Alligator mississippiensis: one gene and its partners. The protein of the gene in region 2 interacts with the protein of the main gene of each other region in a pairwise test. Links are inferred from orthologs where the notes say so. Each region holds a gene or a part of one and is shown on either strand. Other genes may lie near its edges.

Evidence for each region.
Region 1: the proteins of UBE2K (region 2) and RNF167 interact in binary tests that used the Homo sapiens proteins (3 or more experiments, as listed by UniProt). The link is inferred for Alligator mississippiensis from reciprocal best matches to the Homo sapiens genes UBE2K and RNF167.
Region 3: the proteins of UBE2K (region 2) and DTX3 interact in binary tests that used the Homo sapiens proteins (3 or more experiments, as listed by UniProt). The link is inferred for Alligator mississippiensis from reciprocal best matches to the Homo sapiens genes UBE2K and DTX3.
Region 4: the proteins of UBE2K (region 2) and RNF138 interact in binary tests that used the Homo sapiens proteins (3 or more experiments, as listed by UniProt). The link is inferred for Alligator mississippiensis from reciprocal best matches to the Homo sapiens genes UBE2K and RNF138.

The regions. Positions count from the first base shown.
Region 1 is NC_081838.1:23,790,543-23,798,102, forward strand, and holds the start of RNF167 (E3 ubiquitin-protein ligase RNF167), read right to left. Parts: upstream 3,004-7,560; 5' UTR 2,788-3,003; coding exon 2,780-2,787; intron 1,897-2,779; coding exon 1,815-1,896; intron 1,064-1,814; coding exon 983-1,063; intron 702-982; coding exon 582-701; intron 496-581; coding exon 408-495; intron 315-407; coding exon 224-314; intron 39-223; coding exon 1-38. Other genes in the region: SLC25A11 (mitochondrial 2-oxoglutarate/malate carrier protein), read left to right, coding at 4,463-4,548, 5,162-5,314, 5,773-5,979, 6,466-6,556, 6,630-6,720, 6,843-6,942, 7,041-7,092, 7,447-7,560.
Region 2 is NC_081825.1:50,896,081-50,903,484, reverse strand, and holds the start of UBE2K (ubiquitin-conjugating enzyme E2 K), read right to left. Parts: upstream 3,009-7,404; 5' UTR 2,906-3,008; coding exon 2,843-2,905; intron 1-2,842. UniProt on the Homo sapiens protein: Accepts ubiquitin from the E1 complex and catalyzes its covalent attachment to other proteins. In vitro, in the presence or in the absence of BRCA1-BARD1 E3 ubiquitin-protein ligase complex, catalyzes the synthesis of 'Lys-48'-linked polyubiquitin chains.
Region 3 is NC_081838.1:7,399,802-7,407,426, reverse strand, and holds the start of DTX3 (probable E3 ubiquitin-protein ligase DTX3), read right to left. Parts: upstream 3,011-7,625; 5' UTR 2,929-3,010; intron 1,674-2,928; 5' UTR 1,611-1,673; coding exon 1,598-1,610; intron 158-1,597; coding exon 1-157. Other genes in the region: PIP4K2C (phosphatidylinositol 5-phosphate 4-kinase type-2 gamma), read right to left, coding at 4,189-4,269, 4,537-4,640, 4,734-4,968, 5,237-5,350, 5,649-5,687, 5,838-5,984, 6,142-6,288, 6,700-6,796 and 1 more. UniProt on the Homo sapiens protein: Regulator of Notch signaling, a signaling pathway involved in cell-cell communications that regulates a broad spectrum of cell-fate determinations.
Region 4 is NC_081826.1:81,008,633-81,016,371, reverse strand, and holds the start of RNF138 (E3 ubiquitin-protein ligase RNF138), read left to right. Parts: upstream 1-4,725; 5' UTR 4,726-4,811; coding exon 4,812-4,936; intron 4,937-6,601; coding exon 6,602-6,767; intron 6,768-7,739. UniProt on the Homo sapiens protein: E3 ubiquitin-protein ligase involved in DNA damage response by promoting DNA resection and homologous recombination.

The DNA of each region.
Region 1 (7,560 bases), on a different chromosome or scaffold from region 2:
GCGGGAAGATGGACTCGGGAATCAGGACCACATGAGCACTGGGAGCAGGGGGCACAGGATCAGGCTGGGTCTTGCAGCCCCCCCTCCACAGAGAACCCAGGTGTCCAGGCCCCCAGCCCCCCACTCTCACCCCCCAGATACAGAGAGAACCCAGGCATCTGGGCCCCCAGCCCCCCGCTCTCAACCCCCAACGCAGACAGGACCCAGGCATCCAGGCACTCACCCCTTGTCATAGGTGAAGGCGGCGCGCAGGTACTCAGCCGTTGTCTCGCCCACAAACACAGCCGGGATTGAGACCTGCTCCCTCACGCGCTCTGGGGACAGCAGGGGATCAGGGGGGGGCATGGTCTCCACTCCCCCCCAGGGATTGAACCCAGGTGTCCGGGGCGGCCCCGACCCCCACTCACCGTCGTTCCAGACCATGTTGAGCAGGTTGTCGGAGCCGACGTTGTGCACCACAGCTGCGCCAAAGCCAGCCTGCTGTGCGTGCAGCACCTGGGGGGCACAGGAGGGTCATGAGGGACCCAACGGTCCAGGTGCCCAGCCCCCCACCCCTGGAGGACCCAAGCTTCCGGGCGCACCTTGAGGTCGAAGTCGCAGTCGTAGCGGCGCACAAGGGCCACAAAGACGCTGGCATTGGGGCCCGGTGGCGGCTCCAGGGTTTGGCACGCATTGCTGGGCCGCGCCTCCACCAGGAAGCCCTGGTTGGGGAGGGCCACACTGGGACCCAGGCATCCAGGCCCCGCAACCCAAAACCAGAGAGTACCCAGGCATCTGGGCCCCTGACCCCCACTGCCCCTCCCCAGCCCAGACAGGACCCAGGCATCCAGGTCCCCGACTCCCATTATCCCCACTAGGCATCCAGGACCCCTCTGCCCCGCCAGCACAGGCAGAACCCAGGCTTCCAGCCCCCCGCCCGAGAACCCAGGCCCAGCCCCCTACCCCCACCCCCAGGAGGAAACCCAGGCATCTGGGCACGCACCAGGAGGCCAAGGCGGGGCAGTGGCGCCCCAAAGATTGCGGGCAGGTCCGAGAAGTCCATGCTGGAGTTGTGCTCTGACACCTGCAAAGGGTTGTGTGATGGTGGGGGGCACTGCAAAGGGTCCTGGGGTGAAGCTACAAAGGACTGTGGGTAGTTTGGGGACAGAGGGGGGGCATAATCAGGCTGCAAAGGAGCCTGGGATATTGGGAAGGTGTGGGGCAGCTGCAAGGAATTGTGGGATACTGGGGGGGTGCAGCTGCAAAGCAGGGTGGGACACTGGGAGGTTGCTATACAGTTGCAAAGTATCATGGGGCAGTAGGATACTACTATACAGCTGCAAAGAAGCATGGGGGGACTGGGGTGCAGCTGCAATGGACTGTGGGATATTGTAAAGGATCATGGGATACTGAGAGGCCAGCGTGAAGCTGCAAAGCATTATGGGATACTGAGAGGCTACTGCACAGCTGCAAAGTACTGTGGGATGCAGGGAGGCCACGGAGCAGCTGGAAAGCATCATGGAAAGTCAGGAGACTGGGGCCCAGTTCCAAAGGACTGTGAGATATCAGGAGATCGGGGGCCCAGCTGCAAAGCATTGTGGGACATCAGGAGGCCAAGATGCAGCAGCTGCAAAGGATGCTGGGACATCGGCAGGGCCAGGACACAGCTGCAAAGGACACTGGGGTGTCAGGGGAACAACGTGCAGCTCCAAAGGACTGCGGGACATTGGGAGATTGGGGCACAGCTGCAAAGCATCATGGGCCAGCAGGAGGCCAGGGCATGGCTGCAAAGGCCTGTGGGATACTGGGGGTCCCCCCACCCCCATCCCACTCACGGCATGGATGTAGGCAGTGGCAGGAGGCAGCAGCAGGACGAGGGGCACCAGCAGGGCAGCGATGACCAGGGGCCACGATGACCTGAGGGCAGGAGCATACCAGAGTCAGGGGGCAGGGCCAATCCTGGACACCTGGGTCCCGTGCTCCCAGCCCCACGCCCTGCACGTAGCCGGGGCAGTCGCATGCCCTGGGCTGGGAGCCCAGACACCTGGGTTCTCTCCAGGTGGTGGTGGTGGGGGCAACACCCTGCCCCTTCCAGCCCCCTGCCCCCCACAAGTCTGGCAAAGACCCCAGGCGTCCAGGCTCTAATCCCCTAGAACCACTGAGAGCCCAGGAAAGAGCCCGGGGTCCGGGGCCCCACCCCCACTTCCAACCATTACACACACAGAGCAGGGGCCTCAAGCGTGGCCAGAGGGAGTGGGGGCTGGGCAGTGCCTGGGAGGGGCCCGATCCTGGCTTGGAAGGAGCCAGCTACACCCAGAGGACCCTGATCCCAACCTAGGGGGCCCAATCCTGACCAGAGGGGCTAGGCAGTGCCTGGTGGCCCCAAAAAGCCCCTGGGAGGTCCCAATCACAGCTCGAGGGGCCCAATCCTGCCCCAGGGGCTGGGAGGGGGCGAGGTCCTGGCAAGCCGGGGCAGGCTGAGGGCGTGGGGGATGAGGCCCAGCCGGTGCAGTAACAAGCCCAAGCAGTACCTCGTGGGTGTCATGGGAATGGCAGGGGTGAGGCAGGCGGCACCCCACATCCAACCCCCCACGCAGAGCCAGGATGGGGCCCCAGGCATCCAGGCCCTTCCAGGACCACCCCGAGGCCTATGCCCGCAGTCCAGCAGCCCCCCAGGCTCAAACTGAGCCCCTGGATGCCCCCATTACCACCCCCCAGTTGCCCCCCCCAGCTATTCCCTGACCCCCCAGCAGTCCCCAGATGCCCCCCTCTCCCCCCAACTACCTGCCCTACCCCTCACCTGCTCATGATGGGGCCGGGGGGGGGGGGTCCCCTCACTCAGGCCTGGCTCACGGGAGTCCCCCCCCCAGCAGGCAGCAGAGGGCTCCCTCCGTCAGTGACGTCAGCGGGGTTCCCTGGGCGCAGCAGCAGGGGGCTTCCCCGGCCGCAGCAGGGGGCGCCCTCTGGGTAGGGGGAGGGGGTTCGGCTCCCTGCCTGTGTTTACCAGGCCGGCGCGCGGATCTCGCGAGAGCAGGTGGGAGCCACGCCCCCTCCTGGAATGTGCCCCGCCCCCAGGAATGCGGGCGGGGTGAGCGGACGTCCGGATTCCTCCTCCGGGGTTCAGTGGGGCGGGAGAGCCGGGGGGGGATCCCTGCCCCAGCCGGTACTCCCGGGGATTATTGCTGGAGGGAAGAGTGGGGCAGGACCTCTCCCCAGGGTGATGCGGGACCCTGCGTGGACAGCATTAATCCCCGGGGATTAGGTCCAGACGAGGCCTAAAACTTGATCCCAAACGAGTATTAGCGGGAGCGCGTGGCTAGTGGTCTGGCCTTTGATTCCTAGAGCCATATGGAGCATTGACCCCTAGGAGTATTATGGAGTATCAACCCCCTGGGGCGTTATGAAGTATTGATCCCTTGGAGTATTGATCTCCTGGGGCACTGTGGGGTATTAGTTCCTGAAATCAATCGCTTGGAGTAGTATGGAGCATCAAACCCCTGGAATATTATGGACTATTGATTGCCAGGAGGGTTACAGAGCATTGACCCCCCCCAGGAGCACCATGGAGTATTGATCTGCTGGCATAACATGGAGCATGGCTCGCCAGAGGGATTGCGGAGTATCCATGCCCTGGAGTATTATGGAGTATTGGTCCTTGACCCGTAATAGTATTTCTGGAGCCCTGTAGCAAACAGACCCAGCAGGGGCTGAAGTGTGAGTGTTGGGGGGCTGTGGTCTGACGTATCAATCCATGGGGAGTATTATGGAGTATCAACCCCTGGAGCATTATTTCTGTTGGGGGAGTGTAGCATTCAACCCCCCCACCAGCACCTTTATTCTGTATCCCTGGGGTATTATGGAGTATCATTGCTACCAGATGCCGGTCCTATTTATGTCTCCCCCTGGAGGGTATTATCTTTATGCTCCTGGTTACTCCCCACTCTGGAATGGGCTTCCAAGAGAGGTGGTGCTGTCACCTAGCTTGGAGGTCTTCAAGAGGAGGCAGGGGGTCGGACACGATGTATTGTGGTACCTTCTGACTACAATCTATGAATAGAGATGCACCCCCCCAGTTCTCCAAGATGAGGGGGCTTCCCTCCTCTTGAATGGAGGTGGGGAATAAACCTCCTGTGATACTCGAGAGAGTACGGTAATGGGGAGTATTGGAGCCCTAACCATTAGCCCTCCCTCCCCCCAGACCCAGTGGCCCCGCCAACCTCTTCCCGCCAAAACGGGGGTCGAGGGCGGGGATCTGCGCGCGCAACTCTCTCCTCCACCTTCCCTGAATTCTTTAGTCCCCCGCCCTCCTGGATTCTTAGCTGCGCGCGCAGCCACCCTACCTCCGGAAGTCCTTCTGCCCCACTTCCGGGCCGTGAGCACCGCCTTTCCCGGGATTACCGGCCGCACTTCCGGACTGCGCGCGCAGCCCCCCCCCTCCCCCCCCCGGCGTGACCTTGGCCCGGGCCGCAGCGCGGGGCCGGCGATGGCGGTGGCGGCGGGGACGGGGGGGCCCGAGCGGGCGCGGACCTCGCCCCAGGCCGTCAAGTTCCTGTTCGGCGGCCTGGCCGGGTGAGAGCCGCCCCGCCCCATGGAGCCCCCAAAACTGAATTGGCCCCCCTAGGAGACCCCACAAACCTCCTTCTACCTTCCTGACCCCCCCCAACCCCCACAGGGATCTCTGAGGCTAGCTGATGCACCCCCTTCCATGGTCCCCCCCCAGCCCCCCTCCAAAGACACCTGCACCCCCATTCCCACCAATAAACCCCAGACACCCCCAAGGCAAGAAATGGGTGTCCCCCCTCACAATACAACCTCCACCCAGGGCAGAAATCTGCCCTGCCCCAGAATAACCTCCCACAAACCCCTGCTGAGGGGGGGGGGAGCTGTGGGGGGGGGGGACAGGGGAACCCAGCTTCCTCCAGGGTCACAAGCACCTGCCTCAGCTGGACCTTGACCCCAGGGGTTGATGTCCCCCTCGTTAATGGTTACAGGCTGGTGAGGGAGGGTCCCCAGTAGTGCCTGCCAAGCGTGACAGGGACCCAGGCCTCCGGACAGGGGGAGGAGATTTCAGGGTTGGGGTTGGAAGGAGATAGAGGGTCCCGCCCAGGCCTCCAGGGCATGGGGGTGGGACAGGGAATCCAGGCATCTGGGTCTGACCACCCTCCACCCTCTCCCCCACCAGGATGGGCGCTACAGTGTTTGTGCAGCCACTGGACCTGGTGAAGAACCGCATGCAGCTGAGCGGGGAGGGCGCCAAGACCCGCGAGTACCGCACCAGCTTCCACGCCGTGGGCAGCATCCTGCGCCACGAGGGCATTCGCGGCATCTACACCGGGTATGGGCACAGGGGAACCTATGTGCCTGGGGACCCTGCCTTGGGTATGGCCAGGACCCAGATGTCTGGAGCACCTACACTGGCTACAGCTAGGACCCAGGTGTCCAGGGCACCTAGGCTGGGTATGGGCAGGTGTCCAGGGGACCCAGGCATGTGGGGAGGAACCCACGTGTCTGGGGCATCTAATGCTAAGTACAGCCAGGGAACCCAGCTATCCAGCACCTAGAGTGGGTACAGGCAGCCATGCGGGGAACCCAGACATCTGGGGTACCTACCCCAGGTACAGCCAGGACCCAGGGGCCTGGGTTATCTCCACCTGACACAGGGCAGGGACCCAGGCATCCAAGGCCTCTCCATGGGGTGCTGGAGAAGGACCCAGACACCCAGGGCATGGACATGGGGCACTAGGGAGGGGACCCAGGCATCCGGGCCAGGTCTGACCCCCCTCCAAATGGCAGGCTGTCAGCGGGGCTGCTGCGCCAGGCCACCTACACGACGACACGGTTGGGCATCTACACCGTGCTGCTGGAGCGGCTGACGCGGGACGATGGTACACCGCCCCCCTTCCTGCTCAAGGCTGCACTGGGGATGGTGGCTGGTGCTGCCGGCGCTTTCGTGGGCACCCCTGCTGAGGTGGCACTTATCCGCATGACAGCAGACGGGCGGTGAGTGCCTTCCAACCTCTGACCTGGCACCCCCTGGCTTCTGGCTCTGAGCCCTCTCTGTGCCCTGACAGCCCCTGACTTCTGCCGCTCACCCCTCTCTGTGACCCCTGACCCCGCCCTCATCTTTGCTTGGTTTCCACTCCAGTGCCCCCTGACCCTTGTCATGGCACCTGCCCCTGACCCCTCTCTGTACCTTGGTGACTCTTGCCCTAGGTCCCTGCCTTCTATCTGCTCAGTCTTCACCCCAGTGCCCCCTGACCCTGCCTCTCTACTCCCTGGACCTGCCCTGGTGACCCCTGACTCCTGCCAACTCTCAGTGTCCCCTGACCTCTTATTTCTGCCTTCTCTCCACCCCCATGACCCCTGACCTCTCTTTGTGACACTTGACCCCCAGGACTCCCTCTCCCATTGCCCTGTGTCCTGAAGCTGCCCTGCCCCCTGTCTCTGGTCCCCAATGCCCCCTGACCCCTGCCCTCTGCCTCCCAGGCTGCCCCCTGACCAGAGGAGAGGCTACACCAATGTCTTCAATGCCCTGGTGCGGATCACCCGGGAGGAAGGCGTCTTCACACTCTGGAGGGTATGGCCAGGTCAGGGGTCAGGGGTCACAGGGACCCCCCCAACCCCTTCCTCATTCCCCACTTCCCCTACAGGGTTGTGTCCCTACCATGGCCCGGGCAGTGGTGGTGAACGCGGCACAGCTGGCCTCCTACTCCCAGTCCAAGCAGTTCCTGCTGGACTCCGGTAAGTTCCCCCTCCCCTCCTGGCCCCCCCCTTAACAAAGCCAGGAGTTGTTAGCAGCGCCCCCCTCCCCCAACTCCCTTCCTTTGTGTGCAGGGGGGTCTCACCCACCCCCTCCCTGCCAGGTTACTTCCGGGACGACATCCTTTGCCACTTCTGCGCCAGCATGATCAGTGGGCTGGTCACCACGGCTGCATCTATGCCCGTTGACATTGCCAAGACCCGGTGAGTCCTTGAGGAGGGGATGTTGGGGTGGGGGGCCCCAGCCTAGCCTGATTATGCCCCTCATGACCCTTGCCTTCCACCCCCCGGTCTCCTACCAGGATCCAGAACATGAGGATGATTGACGGCAAACCTGAGTATCGCAATGGACTGGTGAGTGGCTGGTGGGGAGGAGCCCTTGCCCCCCAGCAGGATCCTTGGGCAGCTACCCAGGGAGGGGTTTTAGATTTAGCCAGGGGGAAGAGGGACTACAGGTAGCTGGAGGAAAGATATATAGGTAGCCAAGGGGGTGCTCTGTTGATAGCCAGAGGGAAGGGGTGGAGTATATAGGTAGCCAGAGAGAAAGGGGGGCTGCTATAGGTAGCTGCAGGGTGGTCTGCTTCTGGCTGGAATAGCCTGGGCCAGTAGGGAACCCAAGCCATCTGGAGGTGACCCCGGTTGCTGGTGAGGGAGGGGTGGGTATCTGGGTCCCCCCTGACCTTCCCCCACCTCCTGTCCCCACTGCAGGATGTGCTGGCCAAGGTGGTGCGCTATGAGGGCTTCTTCAGCCTATGGAAGGGCTTCACACCATACTATGCCCGCCTGGGCCCCCACACCGTGCTCACCTTCATCTTCCTTGAG
Region 2 (7,404 bases):
CAGCGCTCTTTCCTGCCTGGAGCAGGGGGTCAGACCCGATGATCTGCCAGGTCCCTCCAACCCTAGAAATCTATGAAACCAATAAGGAAAGTAAATTCTGTCATGAATGCAATAAGCCAGCTCCTGTAACTATCCCTTGCACTGAGTAAGGAAGTTCCACTCCTCCAGAAGACTAGTCTTTTAATCTCCAGCCCCACTTTAATCTGTTTTCATTTTGCTGCCTTTATTTAATTTGGTTCTGGTAATATCTTGTAACTTTACAATACCATATATAACACTGAAAATGTTTTTTTAAAATTGTACGATGCTCAACACCTGCTGAACTAAATCCAGTTCTCAAGGACCACTATATCAAGCAACCACCATGATTTCTCCGTCCAATAAGCTATCATTGTATAGATGAATCCCTACCTTCTGTTCAGTTACCTGTGGCAGTGGTCCCACAGCCTACAGCAAAATAAAGTGTTAAGTGCTCTTCTACCTGTGTTGCCCCTCAGGCCCATTTAGGAGATGAGAACAGGGCCTGTACTCTTTGTTCCCCTACTTCCCTGTGTTTAAAGACAATTTAAAATGCTTTAATCCAAAAAATGTATATATTCTCTCCAGATTAGAAGCTTAATTAGTCTACCCTTGAAGACCAACATGATGAAAAACTAGTGAAATGACACCACAAGAGAATAGGCTGAAATCTGAGCAACTGATGCCTTGTCTAGACTAGGATTTAGAGTATTATATGAGTTAGCATGCTTGTGCATTTTAAAGAGTAGACAAAGTGCATTACTTTTAACACACATCAAGCGGGGGGGGGGTCAAAGACTTTATTTAACATCATATTGCATGTTAAAGGCAACATATGCCTTGCCTACACTAACATCTTAAAACTTGGTCGCTTTGTTAACAATCTACATTTTAGTTACTTGTATAGGAAGGGCTAGAAGAGAAAGTACATTTATTCCTACTGTTTAAAAAACATTTTGGGCACATCTATTTAGTTCCAATACTTAAGGGAAACTAGATTAAAAGAATGTCTTTGTTCAAAATTCAACATCCTACTCCTTCAGTTAGCTGTGAGCTCTTACACTTTAAATAAGGCAAGCAGCACAAAAATCATGGTTTGGGAAAATTATTTAAGGTCTTTTCACACAAATTAGGTTATTTTAAAGACAGACTCAAAGGACATTTCTAGACAAAGAAACAGAAGGTATTTAGGATTGTGTGCGTTTCCTAGTTATGCTTTTGTAATTTACAAATCTTCCTTTTGCTAAACTTAAAAGTGAAAACTGGGCCAACAACGTATTGTAAATTCTTCAGTTGAAGAAGAAACTGAAGGATATACCTATGTTCCGAGACCAGACTGGCAAATTTTGCATGTACAGTGTTTATTTCCACATCACAATGGGATGCCAAGCCAACGTTGTGGTATCTCTGGAAAAACAGACTAAGGTGGCCAGTTTTCAGGTTAACACGCTACTCGGAGCATAAAATCTAGTAAGTGTAAATAAATATCAGAATTTTTTAAAGAAAGACTATAGTTTTTAACAATTAATATTTCTTCACATGATTTTTTTTCCCCAACTACTCTTTCTTGATAGGTAACCTAGTCTGAAATTTAGGCTGTCAATCCCTAAAGCTGTTTAAAAGAAAGTTTTCCAGCCTCCTTTGACTGGTCAGAAGTCATCCCACCATTCACCAATTCACATTTTCATGTTCTAGAACACGAACTGTTTACCAAAAAAAAAAACACAAAAAAGAAGTCACACCAAGATATCCCTCAGTAATCAGAATGCAATGTCACTATTCTAAACATCCATAACAACCTACACAACTCGCTTATTCAAAATGCCAGCCTAATGCGTAACCTGTAAGCAGCGATTATGTATAGATTGGTAGACAACGACTCATATTTGGCTCAGTACCGACATGTGTCGTGCATCTTCCATGCTTAATTCAGAGGCAGAAATTCCGCAAGACTCACAGCCACGCCAATACACAGGATTCGGTCACATGAGATGAGCGTCTTGAAGACTTGCGTATTTTCAGTGCACTAGAGTGCCCAGTGCATATGCTAACAAGAATGAAGAAAAACTTGCTCACTAGACCCAAGCCTCTTTATAAGAAAAACTACACAGACCTGAATGTGCCTCTCATACCTGAACACGTTGTGGCCTACACTACAGTTTCCCTTTCTCTAATGCAAGGGAGAAAGTATTTAAAACTTTTCAACAGTGTTTTCTCATTAACACCATCAGGGCTGGTCCAAAGAAAGCAAAACCTTGAAGGGACTCTCCTTTCAGTATGTGGCAGGTAGCCACCCACCCAGACATGCTTCCTAGGTAGCCCCAAGCCAGCTCCCCCAGGGAAATCAAAGGGCGGGCTGCAGGGAGGCTGTACAACTGGGCCTTCGGATGCCTTCAAAAGGCTGCTGGGAGCTGCACAGCCTTAGCAGGCTCAATTCAAAGGCAGGTCAACCCCGGCGCCTCCCAGGCGGGGGACGGACGGCGTCCAGGACCAGGGTTGGGTTCCTCCGCGCTCCCTGGGCCGGGTCCGCCCGCCCGTGGGGACACCAGGGAGGCTCCTACCCAGGTCCCCAAAGTTTCCTAACGCGTCCCCAGCCGGGCAACGCAGGACACTGTCACCCCGGGAAGGGCCGAGCGGGGCCCTCAGGGGCTGAGGCCCGGGGGGCAAGGCAACCCGGGGCCTGGCCAGGCTGAGAGCGGTGGGGCCAGCGCGGCCCAGCCCCGAGGGCCCCAGAGACAGGGGGCCGGGCCGGGCCGACCCGGGGGCAGTGGCAGCCGCCCCCCGCGCAGGCGCACGCAAGGAGCCGGGGGGGGGGTGCTCTGACCTCCTCGCTCTTCAGCACCTCCTTGAACTCCCGCTTGATCCTCTGCACCGCGATGTTGGCCATGTCCGCAGCGGACACCGCCCCGCACCCGCTGCCGCCGAGCCAAGCCGAGCCGAGTCGGGCCCCGCGAGCTCCGCCGCCGCCGCCGCCGCCGGATAAGTCCCGGCCCCACCAAAATGGCGGCGGCGCCGAGCATGCGCGCTGTAGCGCCCGCCACTCAGGAGGGGCCGTGGGTGCGGGCCCGGCCCGCTCCAGCTCCGGCTCCAGCTCCGGCTCCTGCTCCCACTCCCCGAGCCCTGTGCGAGGCCACCGAGCTTCTGCCGTCTGTCCGCGAGGACCGCACCGCCGGGGCTGGGGCCAGGTTGTGATGGCACCGGTGTGATATCGCCCCCGGCCGCGCTGTTGCGTCCAGCTAGCGCCCCCGGCCCGGCCTCCCCTCCGCGCCCCGGGCGGCTGCGGCGGCGGGAAGGAAGAGGCGGCTGCGGCGGGTGATGAGGCGCGGGGTGAAGCCCCGGGGCCGGAGCGGTCTCCCCAGAGCCCCTGGGCGGGGGTGATTATGAAGGGCCTTCCCTTGAGGACCCTTTGCAGAAGAGCCCGGCTCTCTCGTGCCCCCCAGCCTGAGGGCGCGGGGGGACTTGGGGGCTGGCAGCTGTGGGGAGGCTGTGGCAGCAACTGTCCCTTCTGCTGCCTTGCACCCCAGGGAGGACTGCGCATGCTGGCCCGGCTCCTGTTCTCTTGTACAGTACTACAGAGCCACTGCACCAGGAGAGAGGGATGAGGGACTCTTAAGTCAGAGGGCCCCATGAATACGCTGGTCAAGGAGCATGAGGCAGCAGTGGTGACAGAAAGGCAGGCCGCTACGGTTCAGGAGCACGAGTAACATGGAAGGACACCTTCAGAAGTGGGTTCTGCCTGGTTGCTGAAAAGCAAAGCAACTCAAAGCAGTTTCACAGAAGAGCGGTGAGAGCTGGTTGTATAGGAAACCACAGTCAGGGATTGCCCTGGGCAGTAGTGACAGACCTTGAATCTGCACTTCCTTGACCTTAAGTGCTAGAGACTGCAAGTGGGACAGAAATGGTGTGAAGAAAAACCCTGGTCATACCCGGTTTGCTCGCCCTTTCAGCATCTGATCTCTGCTACTGTGTGATATAGGCCTCTTTGATGTGAACAGGACCTCAGGGTTACAGTGGACATTAAACTGAATATGAGCGAGCAGTGTGCCCTTGTTGCCAGGAAGGCTAACAGCAAACTGGGCTGTATTAGTAGCAGCATTGCCAGCAGATCAAGGGCAGTGATTATTCCCCTCTATTTGGCACCACTGAGGTGTACCACCTGGAGTACTGTGTTCAGTTTTGGGCCCCCTGCTACAAAAAGGATGTGGACAAATTGCAGAGTCCAGCAGAATGCAACAGAAATACTTGCCGGGCTGGGGTACATGGTTTCTGAGGAGAGGCTGAGAAAACTGGGTTTTATATAGTCTAGAAAAAAAGACAGGGGATTTCATAATGGCCTTCAATTACTTAAAGGGGGGTTGTTCCAAAGAGGATGGAGCTAGACTGCTCTCAGTGGTGGCAGATGACAGGACAAGGAGCAATGGTCTCAAGTTGCAGCAAGGGAAGTTCAGGTTAGATATTAGGAAAAAATTTCTCACTAGGTGTGTGGTAAAGCACTGGAACAGGTTAGCCAGAGAGGTTGTGGAATCTCCATCCTTAAAGGTTTTTAAGTCCTGAGTAGATAAAGCCTCAGCTAGGATGATATAGTTGGGGGGTGGTCCTGCTTCGAGCAGGGGGTTGGACTAGATGTGACCTTCTGAGGTCCCTTCCAACACCAATTTTCTATGATTTTATGTGCATTGGGAATGTGAGCCAGTGCCCACCAAGTAAAACTAAAAGCCCCACTTAGTATGGGGGGCCATTAAGTACACACCAAGTGATTACAGAGGACAAATAAAGAAGAAAACAGGAATGGGAATGAAAGTCAAAGGTTTAAAAAGAGTGCACCAAGGGAGGACACAAAGCAGAGCATACTGGATACTGCCCACTGGCCTCTGAATGAGTCCAAGGAGCCAGTAGACACTGCCCAGTGAAACCCTGCCCAGATTTGTGAACAGCTCATGGATAGGAAAATGGCCACAAAGTCCCCAGGGATCCTCCCAGCCAGAGCCCCTTTCCTGGTCAGGTAGATCGCTAGCTGTGTGACATAGGATACTGGGCAAGATGGACCTCTGGCAGGGGTGGGCAAAATATGGCCTATGGACTGGATCCAGCCTGCCAAGGGATTTTATCTGGCCTGAAGCAGGTCCCTTGGCCCTGTCCGGCCCAGACACAGGGTAGGGGGGTGCAGCCCAGGCCGTGGCATATACACCTGGTCCTGCTGCCCCTAGGCACACAGCAGGGCTGGGGTAGCGCAGCAGCCAGACTCTGCTTTCCTGTAACTTTGGCAGCGGCAGCTCTATACACCCCCATGGGCAGGGTGCGCTCGGTCAGGTGGATGGGATGGGATAGGATGGAATGGGATGGGGCCACTGGCAGGAAACAGCAATCGGGCAGGATGGGTAGGCAGGGCCGGGACCAAAATTGCAGGATGGTGACAGCACGGAGCCAGGGCCTGAGCAAAGATATACTCTCCGCACAATGGATCATGACCAGCCCAGCCCAAGAGTGGGGTGGAGTGCATACCCGTGACCTGGCCCCTGCTGCCCCTGCCCCATCACAGCACATGCAGACAGCCAAAGTATAATGTGGCTGTAAAGCAGCCCTGATAAATCATGACCAAATCAGGCTACCCCACATTGCTGGGCTGTGCCGCTCCACAGCCACACTGTACTGGGGCTAGCCATGCACAACTGTGCTGGGGTCGGGGCTGGGTCATGGGTGTGTGCTCTGTCCCCCTCCTGGGCAGGGCCAATCATGATCCATTGTGTGGGGAGTGGATCATGGCTTGGCCCTGTGCCCGGCCCTAGCCCTGCACTGTCACCAATTTTCCATCCTGGCCCCATCCCTATCCACCCATCCCACTCTGGATGCCGCTCCCTGCCTGCCCACAGTCCCATCTCATCCACCCGGGTGAGTGCACCCTGCCCACAGGGGTCCCAGGCCAGTCTAGTAACCTACCACTTAGGGAGTTCTGGTGAGCTGTTGCAGGTTGGGGGAGTGAGGGTGCCAACCTGGCACAGCAGTGGGGGTTGCTGAATGGGTCCACAACAGCTCACCAAAACTCCCTAAGTGGCCCTCCAACCCAAATAATTTCTCTCCTTTGACCTATGGTCTGATCCAGTAAAAGGTAATTCTTATGTAATGCTGTGAATGTTGTATCTGGCCAGTTTGGGAAGCCATCCGTGTAGTCTCAATAAATGCTATAGGGAATGGATTCTTTAGAACTGATTCCAGTGGCTTGTAGTTGAACTCAGCTGTAGCATGGCTGCAATGTATGCATACTGTTGTTTGTTTGTTTCCAGCCCTTCATACAATGTGCTTAGTGCTGCACAAAACAACAATGATACAGGCTCTGTTAACAAAACTGCTGACAACAAAATAAAGCTGTACTTTTTATTTTGGTGAGCACTCTTCCTCCACAACATAACTAATGTGTGGTCTCTTTCCCTGGGATAACATTGTCCCATGCATGTTCTTAGCTGTATCCATTTGTACAATTAATTTTTTAGTATCAAATTTGCTTTTGACACAATATATAACACTTACAAAGGGAGGCCTAATCTTGTGGTTAAAAGACCCTATCAGTCACAAGATCTAGATTTGCTTCCTTTTTCTCAGGCTTTGTGTGATCTTGGGCAAAAAAATGAGGCCTACATCTTCAGAGATATTCCAGCATCCAGCTACTATTGCTGTAATTATCAAGCAGAGTGTTGTAAGATCTTTTTAAGGATGAGGTGCTGCACAATACTGGTATTAGTACTGTAAGGTGTACAAACACCTACACAATGCACAAAATAAACTGAGAGATTTCAAATAGGACTCCATAGTGTCAAAAACATTCAGAACTGTTGTGTTCTTTCTGAGTTTTTTTCAGCAAAAGAATTATTCCATTATTTTTTCATAGTCAAAAAGGATTGAATGTTCAAAGCAGTGCCTTGAGTCTAAAAATGTTGAAAACCACTATCCTGTTGACTTAACTGGAAGTTACATGCTTAAACAACTACAGGTCTCTGGGCCCTAGCATCTCTGTACGTCAGTTCCACAGGGGTATAATGGGGAAGATAATGGTTTTCCACCAGATAGAAGTTTTGTAAAGATAAAGTTTGTAAGGTGCTGAGGTACAGACAGTCCTTGACTTACAACGTTTTGAGTTACAACGTTTCGCACTTACAACATTTATAAATTGACACCCTGTTTCAACTTTCTGACATCAGTTTCGACTTTACAACGCTTGATCTGATGTGACACCATGGCAGCGAACAAGTCGCTGTGTCGCCCATCTCCCTGGAGAACATCTGTCCAAACTTCCTTGGACACTTCCTTTAAGAAATCAGACAAGACTCTAGAAAAACCTGCAGCCTAGACTCCTGAGAAGACTCCAGCCAAAAACCCTTCAAAAAGTCCAAC
Region 3 (7,625 bases), on a different chromosome or scaffold from region 2:
CCGTCAATGAGGATGCTGACGGGCGTAGCCTCGCGCAGCCGCGCCAGCTTGCCCGGGCTCTGCTGCGTCAGGAAGTCCCACACCGGCTTCGGCACTGTCAGGCGGCTCTTGGCCCCTGCACCCCCACAGGCCGCCATGCGGGACAGCACAAAGGACACTGTGGGGGGAAAGGGATCAGTGTGGGGCGTGGGCACACGCGTGGAGACACACGTGGCTATGGACGCACCTGTATATAGGCACCCACATGGACGTGCATGTGGCACAGGCATGGAGATGTCCATGGCCATGGGCACAAGTGCCCGCAAGGACTCACATGGGCACATGCGTGAATGGACACGCAAGGACACATAAATGGGCACACACACAGACACGCACACAAGCACATACATGTGGACAAGGGCACACATGTGGACACATACACGTGGATGATATGCACATGGACGCACATGCTTGGAGACGTGCATGGCCACAGGCACGCATGTGGACACACCTGTGGGCATGAGCACATATATGCACCCGCATGGACTCACATGTACATGGGCACATGCGGGCATTGGCATGCACAGGCATACGCATGGACATGCACATAGACGAGGGCACATGTGGGCACATGCATGGATTCATGCATGGACATGCACGTGGGCATATGCAAGGCCTCAACTTTACATAGCCACATACATGGATGGGCACACACATGGACACATGTAGGGATAGGCACATGAACACACATGTGGACACATTTCTATGGACTCACATACATACATACATACATGTAGGCACACACATGTACAAGCACATGCAGGGACATATGCACAGGGACACACATGGGCATGCATACGGACAAGGACACATGGATATGCACATGGGGACACACATAGCCTCATGCATGGACATGCACATGGGCACGTGTGTGGAGAGATACATGGCCATGGGCACACACATGGACATGGGCACAGGCATGGATGAGCACAAATATGGGTGGGCATACAGGCAAACACACCAACTCACGCATGGACTTGCACATGGGCACACATGTGGACGCACACACAGGAACATGCACTCACATGGGTTCACACATGTACAGGCATGTGAGCACGTGCATGGAGGGACATGTACATAGCCACATGCATGGACGGGGACACGGCACGGACTTGCACATGGCCGTTCACACACAGAGGCAGACATGTGCCCACATGAACACAGGCCCAGACACACACAGGGATATGGGCATACACAGACATCAACCCCATGCCCATCACCATCCTGTCTAGGCAGGTGCAGGGGGGACAGGACTGCGATGGGCACACAGCTGGTCGGGACCCCCAAGAAGGGCCCTTCTAGCCCCCTTGGCCTCCCTGCCCCTCCCCCGCCATGCAGAGAGGGCAATGACCCCCTCCCCAGCTGCTGCCATTCATAAGGGGGGCTGCCAAGGGGTGCAGAAAGGGACTTGATAGGAGGGGGCGCGGGGCAGAATCTACCAAGGCCCAGTACAGAGCCTTGCCCCGCCCCTGGCAGCCCACCAGCCTGGCCTAGACCCCCCCCGCCCCCCCCCAATAGGGCCCAATGGCATCACACTTGCGGGGGGCACGGTACCCACCTGGGGAGCCCATGGAAGAAGCTGCAGCCAGAGGCGCTGGGGAGCAGAGCTCAGCACAGCCGGGCGCCGGGAACCCCTGGGGGGACAAAAGGGGGTAAGGAGATGCACCCTTCCCCCACCCCAGACCCCTGTCCTGTGCAGGCCCCCCCAGGCCTGTGGGCAGAGCCCCCCAGCAATGAACTACCCATGCCCCCCAAGCCTGGCACACAAGGGTCCCCCAGGCTCTCCCCTGGGCACAACCTGCTCCCTGGAAACTGGCCCCTGGCCCGGGCTGAGTCGGTGCTATATGGACCACGGGGAGGGGCCTGGGACGGGGCCCTACCCTGCACCCGCCCCACAAGCCTGACAGCTCTAGCCAATCTGGGTCAGCAGCCACATGCCCTGGGGGCGGGACTATCTCATAGGCTCCGCCCCTGAGGCAGGGGTCACCCTCCCAGTCCATACAGCACAGACTGAGCCCCAGGGGAGGGTCTGCCCTAGACCCCCCAACCCACCCCGGAGACACAGGCAAGCCTGGACCCCCCAGGTGAGACGGGGGCACATGTGGGGGTCTCCACTTCCCCTCCCAAATGCTTGCGCGAGGACCCTGGGACCAGGCCTGGCACCACCCCAGAGCTGGCTGCATTTCAGCGCGGTCGGGGGGGCACTGGGGGACCACTGCCGCCCCCCCGGACCCCAGCAACGCACCCGCCAGCACCCTTGGCCCGTACCACAGCCCCAGGGAGCCACGGGGGGCACATCCCGCCCGCACCACCTGGGCTGGAGGCAGCTCCCCCCCACCCCCGGCAGCCTCATTGTAGGAAGGAGGGGGGGGGCTGTGACCCCCAAACCCCCCGGCACAGAGACCACCCCCCCTTGTGAAAGGGACCCAGGAAACCCCAAAACACCCCCGGCCAGCCTGTGCCCCCCCCACAATCCCTATCATAACAAGGCAGTGACTATGACCCCCCCAGTGCCCCCAGCCCATGCAAAGGGGGCAGGCAAAGCCCATACAAAAACGGGGGGGGGGGGGAGTGCAGGCCGCGGCCCAGAGCCGGCTGCATCGCGGGGAGGGGGCTGGGGAGGCCCCCCCCATACAACTACACCCCCCCGGGTGCAAATGCCCCCCTCCCCGGCTCGGGCCCCTCCCCCCGGCCTCCAGGCCTGCAAACGTGGGGGCTCCGAGCAGGAACAAAGGCCCGGGCCCAGCGCCCCCCCCGGCTGGGAGCGCCCCCCCCACTCCAGGGGGGCTGTCAATCATTCATCGCCCCCCCACACACAATGGAGCCCGGGCCGAGCCCCCCCGCCGCCCGCCCCGCACGGCCCCGCCCGGGCCCCCCAGCATCACCGACCTGCCCTCGGCGCGGCCATGGCGGGGGTCACGTGGCGCCGCGTTGCCGGGGGACGGGCCCGGCCATGGCAACGGGGGGGCGGGGGGGGGGGGCCGGGCCCGGATCAGGTGGGCGACGGGGCACGCGCGCAGCAGCAGCAGCAGCGGGGGGGGGGTGTTGCTATGGAAACCCCCGCGGGGGGAAGGGGAGGGGTCAGGGCAGCGTGGACCCCCCCGAAGTGGGGCAGCCCGGCGGCGGGGGCCCCAGGCCTCTGAGCCCTGCCCCCCCACAACCCTGCGGTACCCCCCATTGCTAACACCCCGCCAGCTGCTGCCCCCCCAAACCAAGGGGGACCCAGCTCCCCCCACCCTGCAATACCCCCAGCTGCAACTATTGCCCCCCATTGCTATTAGCCCCCAGCTCCCCCCCCACTACAGCTATTGCCACCCCCAGCTGGGAGGCACCCAACTGCCCCCCCTACCATTACTGCCCCCCCCACGTTCCCCCCAAAAAACCTAGGGGCAGTTACCTACCACCCAATAGCAGCTATTACCCCCACAGCTACTGCCCCCCCCCCCCCCCCCGGCACTGCCCCCCCTCCCCCACAACAGCACACACAGCCTCATAGTCAATAATTTATTTCTATCAATAGAGTGAACAGGAATGTGGCCCCCCTGCCCCCCCCCCCCAACAGCCCCCCTCCCCTGAGCATGCCCCCCCCAGGGCATAGCCCCTGCTCCCAACACAGCCTGGGGGGGCACTGGGACAGCTTCGTGGAGGTGAGGACTTGGGGGCAGCCCCAGGGGCTGGGGGGAGGTATTAGTGTTTGTCAGACCCTCCCCACTGCAGGGTGGCAGGGCCTTAGGACCCACTGCCCACAGGTGCTGGGGGAACCCCCTCTACCAGCAGCCCCACAGCCCATTGAAGTGGGCAGGTGGGGGCCTTTGCCTAGGCTGTGACCCCAGATCCAGGGAGCAGCGGGTCAGTGAGTCAATGGGGGGGTGGGGGGCAGGATTCCCCACCTCTCACTAGCAGCACAACCTCCTCCTCCTCCACCACCAACAGCAGCAGCAGCAGCTCTGAGTAGGGGGCAGCCCTCGCCCCCCCTCCCCCCCCAACCAGGGGTTATAAAGATAAGGCACTTGATCCACACCAGGACACTGGGATCCGCTGCAGCCAGGGCAGGGGGGGCCGGCTCCCCGCGTCTGCCCAGCAAACACCAGGGAGTGTGGGGGAGGGGGGGGTCTAGAGGAGCAGGGGAGTGACCCAGTGGCCATGGGGCTAAGCAAAGATGTTGGTGATGAAGTCCAGGAAGCGCTTGGCGTACTGCTCCGGGTGCACCGTCGAGATCTCAGCGCCGGCCTGTGCAGGGGGCAGCGTCAGCACCCCAAGACAGGCCCAGCCCCCACCCCAGCCAGCTCTTACCCCACTCCCCCAGCCACAGTCTGCACTCGTGCCCCAGCCCCTCCGCCCCTCACTCCAAGGCCAAATGCTAGCAGCTACCTGCAAACCCCCAGGCCCACGCACTGCCTGCCCTGGCCTCAATCCTGGGCAGCTTCTGGCAAACCAGGGATGCCTGGGAAGCCACAGCCCCTGCAGGGGGATCCAAACCTCCCCCCCGCAGCTCACCCCATGCTTGACAGTCTTGGCTGCGTGTGCCGCTTTCTTCTTGGCATCGTACTGGGTGAGGATGTCGATGAGGCCCATGAAGTACACCTCACAGCAGGGCCCGCCTGAGTGAGACGGGGGTGTGAGACAGGTACAGACCCCTCTTCCCCCGTGCCACCTGAGCCCCCCACCCACCTAGCACCCCGGTGCCTGCTCACCCTGGCTGCGGACAGCATACACATCCACACGCGAGTCGAAGTCGCCGGGGCCCAGGGCGCGGTGGGCGCCAAAGTCGCCGGCAATGCCGAGGCCCTCGGGGGAGGCGCCGTAAAGGCCAGCAGTGCCATTGTCTCCCCCGTCCTCATCCTCAGGCTCATCCTCCTCCTCGGCCCGCGGCACCTCGTGGATGCCCAGCAGCAGGCTGTAGTCCATGATCTTCAGCTGCACCAAGAACTGCGGGGGGGTGGGGATGATGAACAGGGGGAAGGGGGCCAGACCATGAGCCAGCACTGCTTCACTTTCATGAGGCCCAGTGGCAGATGCCAAAGGTCTTTCTTCCTGTCTGCCCCCACCACAGGCCTCTGCAAACCCCATGGGAGGTTTTTGCCCATGTGGCCATTTGCCAGGAGCCCCCAGCCCCACAGCCCCTGCCCATGTCTGCACAAACCCCTCATCTCAGGCTGGGACAAGCCCAAGGGCCCTTGCCCTCAATGCCACCAACCTCCACATCCCTCTTGAGCTTCTCCAGGAACTCCCGCTTGGCCTCCTCGCCCACGTAGACCCTCTCATTTTTGTTCAGGAAGTCCATGTCCTTCAGCGTGGGCAGGTCCTTTCCCTGGATTGGGAGGGAGGCTACACGTGAGAGCACAGGAGGAGCCCACAGCCTCACACAGAGCTGTGCAATGGGGGTGGAGGGGCACATCACTGCCCCTGCATCAGAGCCAGGCACCGCAAGCTGCACCCTCTCTGCCAGGAGACCTGGGAATGGGTCAGGCCACAGCCTAGGAAGGCAGCAACCTCGTTGTGGGGTGGTGGGGCCAGGTGGGCAGGGGGCAGCAGGGCTAAGAGCCCAGAAGCACTCAGCTTAGTCTGCAGTGTGGAGGGAGAGAAAAAGGATCCCCCCCCACCATTACCTTCTCTTTGTCACTGGCTTCTCGGGACACTAGGGAGCCCTGCAAAGGTGAGGGGGGAAACAGACACAGTGTTAGCTCCAAGGCAAGGTACTAGGGGGGAGTGCAATAAGGGCTGCGGCTGGCAGCTGCAGGGAAGGGGGTCATGGTGGGGACTGTTCCCAGAGCCAGCCCGTCCACCCCGGGTGTTACCTTGAGGTCATACTTCCGATGCACGGGCAGGCGGTGGCTGAACATGTTGCGCATGGCCAGCACGTAGCGCTCCTCGCTGTCCACGCCTGTGCGGAACATGCCCAGGAACTGTGGCAGCAGCGTGTTCCCGTGGCACTGCACCACGTACTGCAGGGGGAGGGGGGAGCACGTCAGAGCCAGGCACCTCGCCGCCCTGCTCCAGGCCCCAACCACATACCTCTGGACCCCTGGCCTGGCCACATCCAGCTGGCCCATCTCCCTGACCTGCCCCACTCCTGGTTCCCAAGCCCCACCCTGGCTGTACCTGGTGGTAGTGCGAGAGCAGGCTGTGCACATCAGCCACATCCTCACTCGAGATCTCTTTAACCACCAGCGTCCGGTCCCAGGAGAGCAGGAAGCGCCGGTCGCTGCCCTCACCTTCGTACTGGGGGGGGCTGCGGGTCAGTGACACCTGGGGGCGGGGAGCACATGAGCCCTGCTAAAGTCAACTCTGCCTGGAAAAAGCCCAGCCTGCCCCTCGAGTAGGCACAGACATTGGCATGGCACCAATGAGCCCGGAGAGGGGACACTGCTGCTACCTGGTTGGGAGGCTGCAGTGAAACCCAGGGAACCCCTAACCCCTCCCTCACCATCACACCACACGCCATGCCCAAGCATGGTGGGGTGGTGCATGTGTGCACACACATGTGCAGGGGGGTGCATGTGTGTGCGCATTTGTGTGCAGAGGGAGAGGCTGGGTGGTTCCTAGGGGATACTCACTGGGGGGGTCCATGTATGCATGTGAGCACACACACATGTGGTTATGCAGGAGGGGGCATATGTGCATGCAAGCGCACACACAGCCCCAGCATGACGCCCCCACCTGGAAGTCCTGGTCATCGATGCCAAAGCGCTCGCGCAGGTTGCGGAAGACTTGGGGGCAGTACTCCTTGAACTTGAAGTGGCTGGGCAGGTTCTCCCTGGGGTGGGGGGGTAGGGTCAGCATTCAGCTATAGGCCTGGATGCCACGGCTTGTGGGACCAATGCCAGGGGAAGCAGGGTTGGGCTGGCTCCGACATGGCCTGCGGTTGCCCCTATCCATCCCACGCACCCCCAGCCTGGATCACTGGGAGTGGGGGGGCAGATGAATGGACAACCCACGGATTCTGGCCTTGGGGGCACTCAGAGCTCAACCCTGCCCAGGGGTGGCAGAGGAGGGTGGGACTCACCGGTTGAAGAGGTGGTTGTTCACCTTGATCTTAGAGTTTGCCTTGAAGTCATCGGGCAGCAGCATGATGGGCAGCGGCACCTGGCTCAGCTCATTGATCTGCCAGGAAGGAGGTACCACCTGCTGACTCCCAGGCTTGAGCCCCAGAGAACAGATCCCCTGCCCTGCCCAGCTCATACCACACTGCCCTTGGCCGTGGGGAGACCAGGCCTTGGTGCCAGCATGCAGTTAGCGCCCCAGAGCAGAGGCAAATGGCTTTCCCCTCCCCACCCTGGAGACCCCACGAGCTGTTCAGAAGGCTCCTGGAGACAGAGGAGATGGGTCTGTGCCTAAGTGAGCCCAGCCAGATGCCAGGGGCAGGAGCTGGGTTGGCCCCAGATCTGAGCAGGCCCTGCTGCCCCTCAGCCGGGCACTTCACACGTGTTGATACATGGGTCACATGGCACCAGCAGGCACTTGGCCGAGCCCACAGTGCCACACAGGGAGCTGCTCTGGGGTGGTCCTGTGGGAGGGTGCCTATGGGGAGAGACCACAGTCCCAGCTAGCCACGGTGAGGGGGCCTCATGCCCACTCAGGGACCC
Region 4 (7,739 bases), on a different chromosome or scaffold from region 2:
AATCTCTTTAGGAATAGGGGGTCATATCCAAATAATTCCCACTTTACAGACTCCTCATAGAAAAGATTTGAACAAATACAGAGAAAGCTGCTAAAAACTCCATCTTCTAAACCTACCCATGAATTGGAGCACTGGGGCACATGTTATTCAGTGACCACAGGATGGGGCCTGGATATCAAACAGGATGCAGCTCAGGTCAGGTGTTTTGTATATAGCCAGGGCCTAAAGACAGTAAAGACAGAGGGTTTATTTAAGATAAATCCCCAACCTCCACACTAGGAGCTATTGCAAATGCTGCAGAGTAGGTAGTAATGCGAACACACAGATTCAACCTGGGAGCAAACATGACCTATGAAAGTCCTTCCAATTTTGGACTAGCTTCACTACACAAGGCATCAACGAGTGTGTGGGGAATTACAAGCTGGAAAGGAGGGAGACAGTCACCATTTCTCCCCCAGTATACTTTAGAACAGGGGTGGGCAAAATGCGGTCCATGGGCGGATGCAGCCCACCAGGCCATTCTATCTAGCCCATGGAGCCCCTAAAAAATTTAGAAAATTAATATTTGTCTGCCCCGGGTGCCTGTCATGCGGCCCTTGATGGCTTGCCAAAACTCAGTAAGCAGCCCTCCGCCCGAAATAATTGCCCGCCCCTGCTTTAGAATCAGCCCTTTTGCTTAAACTGAAATGCAATGACCAGCCTCACAGTCATAAATTACAGTTATGAAGTTACAAGGACAAATAAAGGGGTAACTGGATGGAAGCACCTAAAGTAAAAATATTTCTGACACATGACACAACACTACGGTTCCAAACACTATAGGGGCAGATCCAGAGGGGGTGTGGTGGCTTTCAGACCAAGCCACAGAAGCAGCAGGTAGGGACTTTGAAGCAGGTTTGTATCTACCTCTTTTGCTACTTTTAAGCAGGTATGTATCCACCTCTTTTGGTACCCCATTACTTCCCCTCCATGCTCAGTGGGACCTCCCCCCAACTCCCCTCTGATTCCCCACCTGCCACTGCCCGTACTCCTGCCTTTAGCTACCCCTGGGGACAAGGACACTGGATTCTTCCTTCCTGCCAGGTGTTCTTCACCAGTCTGAGAGCAGGCTCAGGGACAGAGAATCCACCTACTGGCACCACTGTCCCTGACTGGGTTTGTCTCCCCATGCAGCTGCTCCCTGCAGCCCCAGCTGGAGCAAAGCTGGAACATCCAGGACAGCAGCAGTGGCAGATGAGTCTCCCTGAGCCCAGAGGCATAAGGAAGAAAATTAGAAAATAGGCTGAGAGATAATTTTAGGTGATAAGTAAATGGCAAATTTATTATGAGCTTACAATTAATTGCAACAGAAACACATGTATGTACATACAGCCAATGAAAATTAGGGCTGAATATCCAGCAGTTTCAATATGTATCATAGAAACATAGAAAATTAGGGTTGGAAGGGAGCTCAAGAGGTCATCCAGTCCAACAAAGCAGGACCATCCCCAACTAGATCATCTCACCCAAGGCTTTGTTTAGACAGGTCTTAAAACCTCCAAGGATGGAGATTCCACAATCTCCTTGGGTAACCTGCTCCAGTACTTTACTACTTTCCAAGTGAGAAAAATTTTCCTAATATCTAATAGAACATGAGACGGTCCATTTTTACATGATTTCTGAAATGGTGCTCTGAGATCCTGAATTATCTCCACACAAGGAGGATATCAACAAGTTGGTGGGATTCAGAAGTACGAAAACCTTAAATGTGGAGAAAGTTGTCAATATGACTGTTTTATAGCAGCAGTAGGAAGCAATCAAAAGAAGAGCAATTATTTAACTACGGACTGCTAGTGTTTGTATTGGGCTAATGCCCAGGGGCTCCAAAATTTAAAACGTAATAAATCTGAAACTGTGGACTTCACTATGGTGTCTGGTACAGTTATATGGGAGCAGTGAGACAGACACCAGATCCTCTTGCATCCAGACGGTTTAGATTCTCCTCTTGTTCAATCCTCAGTAGAGGTTAGCAGTAGAGGTTGATGAAACCTGGGTGCAGACACACGAGGGCTGAACTGTTCTGAGAATGTCATTGATTAGGAACCAGTTCACAACTGTTGCAGTGCAGAGGTGTCCACTTCCAAAACAGTTCTAAGAACAGCCACCTTTTAGGTATTGGAGTGCTGTGGCACTGCCATCACAGAATGGGAATAAGTACCTTGCCCAGCAGCCTTAGGGGCAAGAGCCCCATGTTACCCTAGGATTTCCTTACCGGGCATGAAGACCCTGAGGGGATTTAATGGCAGCTTTCAACTACCTGAAGGGTAGTTCCAAAGAGGATGGATCTAGACTAGGGTTACCATATTTCCAGTTTCAAAAAAGAGGACACATACGTATTTGGGTGGGGAGGAGGGGAAAAGGAATATGACTGTGGGGGGAGCAATAATATGCCCTTGCCCTGGCCCTGCCACTCACTCCTAAGGGACAGCACTCCCCCACCCCGCCAGCCCTGCTGCTGCCCCTCACTCCCAATCCACAGTACCCCGCCTCCTAGGCCATGCTGATGCCCCTCACTCCCGACCAGCAGCCTCCTGGCACTGCCTATGCTCCATGCTTCTGACCCAAGAGGCATGGGGAAGGTGCAGCTTCTTGCCACTGCACACACTCCCAGGGGAGGGCATGTGGCCTCTGGGTTTGTGTGTGGGGCAGAGGCAGTCTGCCCACTGAGGGCTGGGGATCACTGTGTTCTGCTGCTTTTTCCCAGGAGCTATGCAACACCAGTATGCACCCTGACACATGCTGGGCAGGTAGGGGACACAGTGCAGCTCTCAGGGCAAGGCGGGGGGAGGCAGCAGAAGGGGCTTCCTAGATCCCTACTTCTGTATTCCAGGGGGCTTGATGTTCTGGGGACTGCCTGAGGTCTCTGCCTCAGGCTGCAGCTTTAAGATTTTTGCTAGAAAACCACCTAATTAATTTCAGTTCACCCCACCTGGTGGGGTAGGTGGGTGCACCCTTAATGATAAACACCTGTTAATTGCTAGGTCAGGCAAAATGGAACCACAATGGGCACTTAAGGCTGCAGAATGGCTGTTAATCCCATGCTTGGTCAATGTAAATTGCCCCATTAACTCTGATAAACTGTTCCTCAGCCCTGCACCCTCCTTTATCTGCTTTGGTTAGATTGTTTTTAACACTATAGATTCCTATTTTAAACAACTGGTTTTATGTTCTGAATTGTGTTTGAACACCTAACAATGCTAACATTGAATGGCATCTCATGGAAAGGGTTTCAAGGACTGCCATGCTGGCTTTTACTACTCAGACCTGATAAAGGATGTCCTGCATTTGAAAGCTTGTCTAACTCTACCCCAACTATGCAGTTGGTCCAATGAAAGACATCACCTTAAGAAATCCTGGCCTCTCACTTAATTCCTGGACCATCATGGCAACAACATAATTCCAATACAGGTTTCCCTCACTTTATGCAGGTTTTGTATGTGCAAATTTTCTCTTATGCGATGACCCTTTTTATACCAAAAATGAGTTATATGTGAGGTAAATTCACTTTTATGCAATCAGTGTGGTAGAGGCCTGTAGTCAGCTGCTTTGTATGGTGCATTATGGGAGTGATGTGCACCAAAATATAGTCTGCTGTGTGGATCCATGCTCCTCGCTTGTTGTCCGCGACACATCACGTGTACACGTGTAGTTGCCATCCCCATTATGGTAATATTCACCACCTCCTGTGCTTGTGCGCACTGTCTGCTGTTAGCAAGTACCAAAATTGCCTGATAAAAATGGGTCTGGGGGCCAGTACAGTCAAGGTCTTGGAACATATCTTTGTTGCATTGTAAAGTGGGTTCTTTATGCGAATTCGAGTTAATGCGCCCTTTTCCAGGAATGCACGTACAGCATGAAGCGAGGGAAACCTGTACTACCGAAGAATGTCAAGGCACCCCGGGGTGCTGCAACATCCTGGTTGAGAACTGCCAATCTCAGGTGTTAGATGTAGAATTTCAGAACTAGGTGCATCCCTAGCAAATTCCTCCAAGTTTAGTCCTGCACTTCTGCAAACCACGAGGTGTATGTCTGCTGCCCTTGCGTGGCTTGTTTCATCTGTCAAGGGCTTCTTCTCCCTCTGCCCCACTATCCACCCACCTCACTCTTCTTCCTTAAATGAATACCTGAGGGTAGACCACAAACTGGCTGTGCCCTGGGACTAATGTTTGCCTCCTCTTCACATTACAGGTACCACACAATTACCTGGTTAATTGTGCAATTATCTGCATACCAGTAACACATGCCAGGTAGCTATCACACCGTAAAAAGCTCCCATCAACTATGAAGGTAGACCATGAAAATGCACAAACTTTATAGCTAGTTGCTACCCAGCTTTCACCTGCATGTGCAGCAGGGTCTCTCCCCTCCCCTGTGGCGGGGAGCACTGAGAGGATGGGGCTCCGAGCCACGGGGCTGCACCAGGCCCAGTTGGGGCCGCGGGTCTCACAAAGCAGGGGCCTCCCAGCTCCAGCAACTGCCCACGCTGAGTCCTGACAGCACCTGGACACGCGGGGGGGGGGGAGGGGGCGGCACATGAAAGCCATGGCCTGGACGAGACCAGCCCTGCCTTTGCGGCGCGGGGCGGCCCACTGCGCCTGTGCCACAACAATCCCCCGCGCGGGCCCGGGCGTCACCACGGAGACCCGCCCCGCCCACGGCGCCGGCGGCGGAGGGACCCAGACCCGGGCCCCGCCCTGTGACCGCCGCGGCGCCGGGCAGGCGGAGACGGCCGCGCCGGGCCGGATCCCCGCGCCGGAGGCCGCGGCGCTGCCATGGCCGAAGAGGCGGGCGCGGGCAGCAGCACCAGCAGCAGCGGGAGCGAGGAGGAGGATTTCTACTGCCCTGTGTGCCGCGACGTGCTGCGGACGCCCGTGAGGACCCTGCTGTGCCGGCATGTGTGCGTAACCCTCCATTCCCCCCCCCTCCCCCCGGGCACGCGGGGCTGCGACCCGGGCCCGCCGCACCCCCGGGTAGCTCCCCACACGTGCGATCGCACGCGCGGCCGGAGCGCCGGACCCTGCCTCGCAGACGCGCACAGCCCGGGACCGCACGTGCTTCCCCCCAGCCGGGCATCCAGCCCCCATTACATACACACCCACCATGGCCTGGGAGCCATGCACAGCCTGGGATCACATGCTAGGCCCAGGGGTGTGCATCTAGCCCCCATTACACACACACCATAGTCTGGGATCCAGGCCCTGCCCCTCAAACACAGGCCGAGTCTGGGATCTCACACACTTATGCCCTCTCCCCCTATCTAGCCCCTAATACATACACACGCGCCCCCCCACAACCCACCCCCAGTCTGGGATCCAGACCCTGCCCTAAAAACCCACAGAGCCTGAGATCCAGCCACCATCTCACTCTCTCAATCCATGCCCACACGCGCACATGGCCTGCGACACCCCCCACCTTTGAGATCCAGGCCCTGGTCTGAAGGAGTGCGATCCACCAAAGCGGACACCCCCCCACCCCCCCAAGCTTCATTGCCCTGTGGCAGTGGGATGCAGTAAGACTGCCCACCTCCACTCTGCTTCATTCCTAGGGAAGGAGCACAGGGGGGTTAACAGCCCTGTTTCACTCCCCTCCCCCTTGTCCCGGCTGTTCTCATCCTCCCTAGAGGCATCTTTGCAACCTTGCCACAGGAGCCTAAGAGTGATGTTGTAGACATGACAGTCCATGGTCCAGAAGTGATGCCAGAGGGGAGGATCTCTTGGGGCAGTCCCTTATTGCAGTGGCTCCCAACCTTTTTAGACCACAGACCAGCAAACTGCAGACCAGCATACCGCAGACACTGGCAGCCAACCCTTTTTTTATACTCAGTATGAAAAAGGGTTGTCTGCAGTATGCTGATCTGTTCTGGACTTCCAGTCCAGCAGCCAACCCTTTGCAGCCAGGTACCAGGCCGTAGCGCAAGGGTTGGGGACGTCTGTCTTATTGGACCAGTCGTGTAGTAGGGATAAGGTTCCCTTCCAGCCCCGCAGTTTTTGGCTGGTTCCCATCCACTTGGCCGTAAAGCCTCTGTTGGTTCAGGTGGATGCTTAATGGCAGGCTCCAGCATTGCCCAAACTTGTGGGTGGATGTTTCTTTGAAATATGGTGCCTTGAATTTTAATGAAGCTGTATACTGGAAGTAAGGGAGGGGGAGAAGTAAATGTGACCAACTGAAAGCTGCGGGAACATTCACAGGAGGGTCGGTTTGCAGCATTTGGGTCTCTATATAGGAATAGTAAACAGGAGCCAGCCTGGTACAGTTTTTCTTGGCTCACAAGCCCAGGTATCACCTGAACGGCCAATCATGGTGAACAGCTCAGCAGTGCTAGAATTAGATAGTAAAATCTCTGCATCAAATGAATTGCCAAACATCCTATTACTTAAAATCCGTGTTTCAGTATATCACTGAAGTAGACTTATATTTAATGGACAGACTTCTAGCGCTTACCGTGAACCCTGCGGAGTTCCTGCGGAGTTCGTCATTTGCCTCCTCAATACCAAAGCAGAAAAATAGTTGGCTAACACTATTTCAATTTTAGTAATTTAGGTCTCTGTTAATTTTGATTTAGGTTTTGCAGGAAATGTTTCCTGACAGCTGTCAGAGAAAGTGGAACGCATTGTCCTCTCTGCCGGGGAAGTGTGGCTAAGAAAGAAAGATCATATCCCCAAAGGGCCCTAGATGTTGAAAACAACATGAAGAAGTTTTCTGGAAGCTGTAAATGCTGTGAAAAACAGGTGGAGTATACTTGTAACAAGCAACTATTGTAAGGAACTAAAATTTTCCTTACCTGGGGTTTCATTTTGCATGTTGCTATGCATCATCAGTGTTCTGTTGTTTTGCTCGAGCACCATCAGCGTTGAGCCACAAATGAAGCATAAGTGCTTATGATAAGCAGAATTTGGTCCTTAATTAAAAATATGAATGTTGATATTGGGATAACGTAGAAAGCGAAACAAGTTATTTTTCAAGGGATTAATTGTAATTGTCTCATTTTTGGTGATGTGCCAAAATTATAGTGCTTCATAAAATTAAATTGTTAGCAAATTCCTAAAAAGAGTTTTAAAACATGGTTCTGCCATGTTATTTAATGTTTGCTTTCTTTTTGGTAGAGCATTAATTTCCAAAACACTGTACATGAAATCCTAGCCCCACTGAAGTCAAAAGGCATCTTGCTGTTGATCTTCAGTGGACCTGGAAGATTGCTTAATAAGTTTTGTTTATGTAACATCTACCTTCATTCAGATTGGAGCTTAATTGTCTGAATGCAGCTATCGTGTCTGAAAAAATGAAATTGAGAGCAACAAAATTTAAGATCCACTAAACAATACAAGTGGGTAGGCTAGAAGGAATAAAGCCCCAGGTCCACAAAATGACTTCAGGCCTGGACACAGCATGTTAACACTGGTGTAATTTACTTCAGTCTTATACTACAATGAGAACTGCACTGGGATCTGGGGTGGCTGGATGACCAGTTATCCCAGGGAAGCTGCTACAGTAGTCAATATGACACTGTCTCTCACCACTGTCTCTCACCTATTAGGGGCAAAGTAATAACCTAATAGGTTTCCTTGGACACCTACACCAGTGTAATTTGCACCCAGGGAACACTACACCTGAGTCTAATGTACCTCATGTTCCTCCTCCTTGTTTACACCAGCATAGAGGCATTTTGTGTACAAGCTCAGTACTGAAAAGGAAACTTGAGA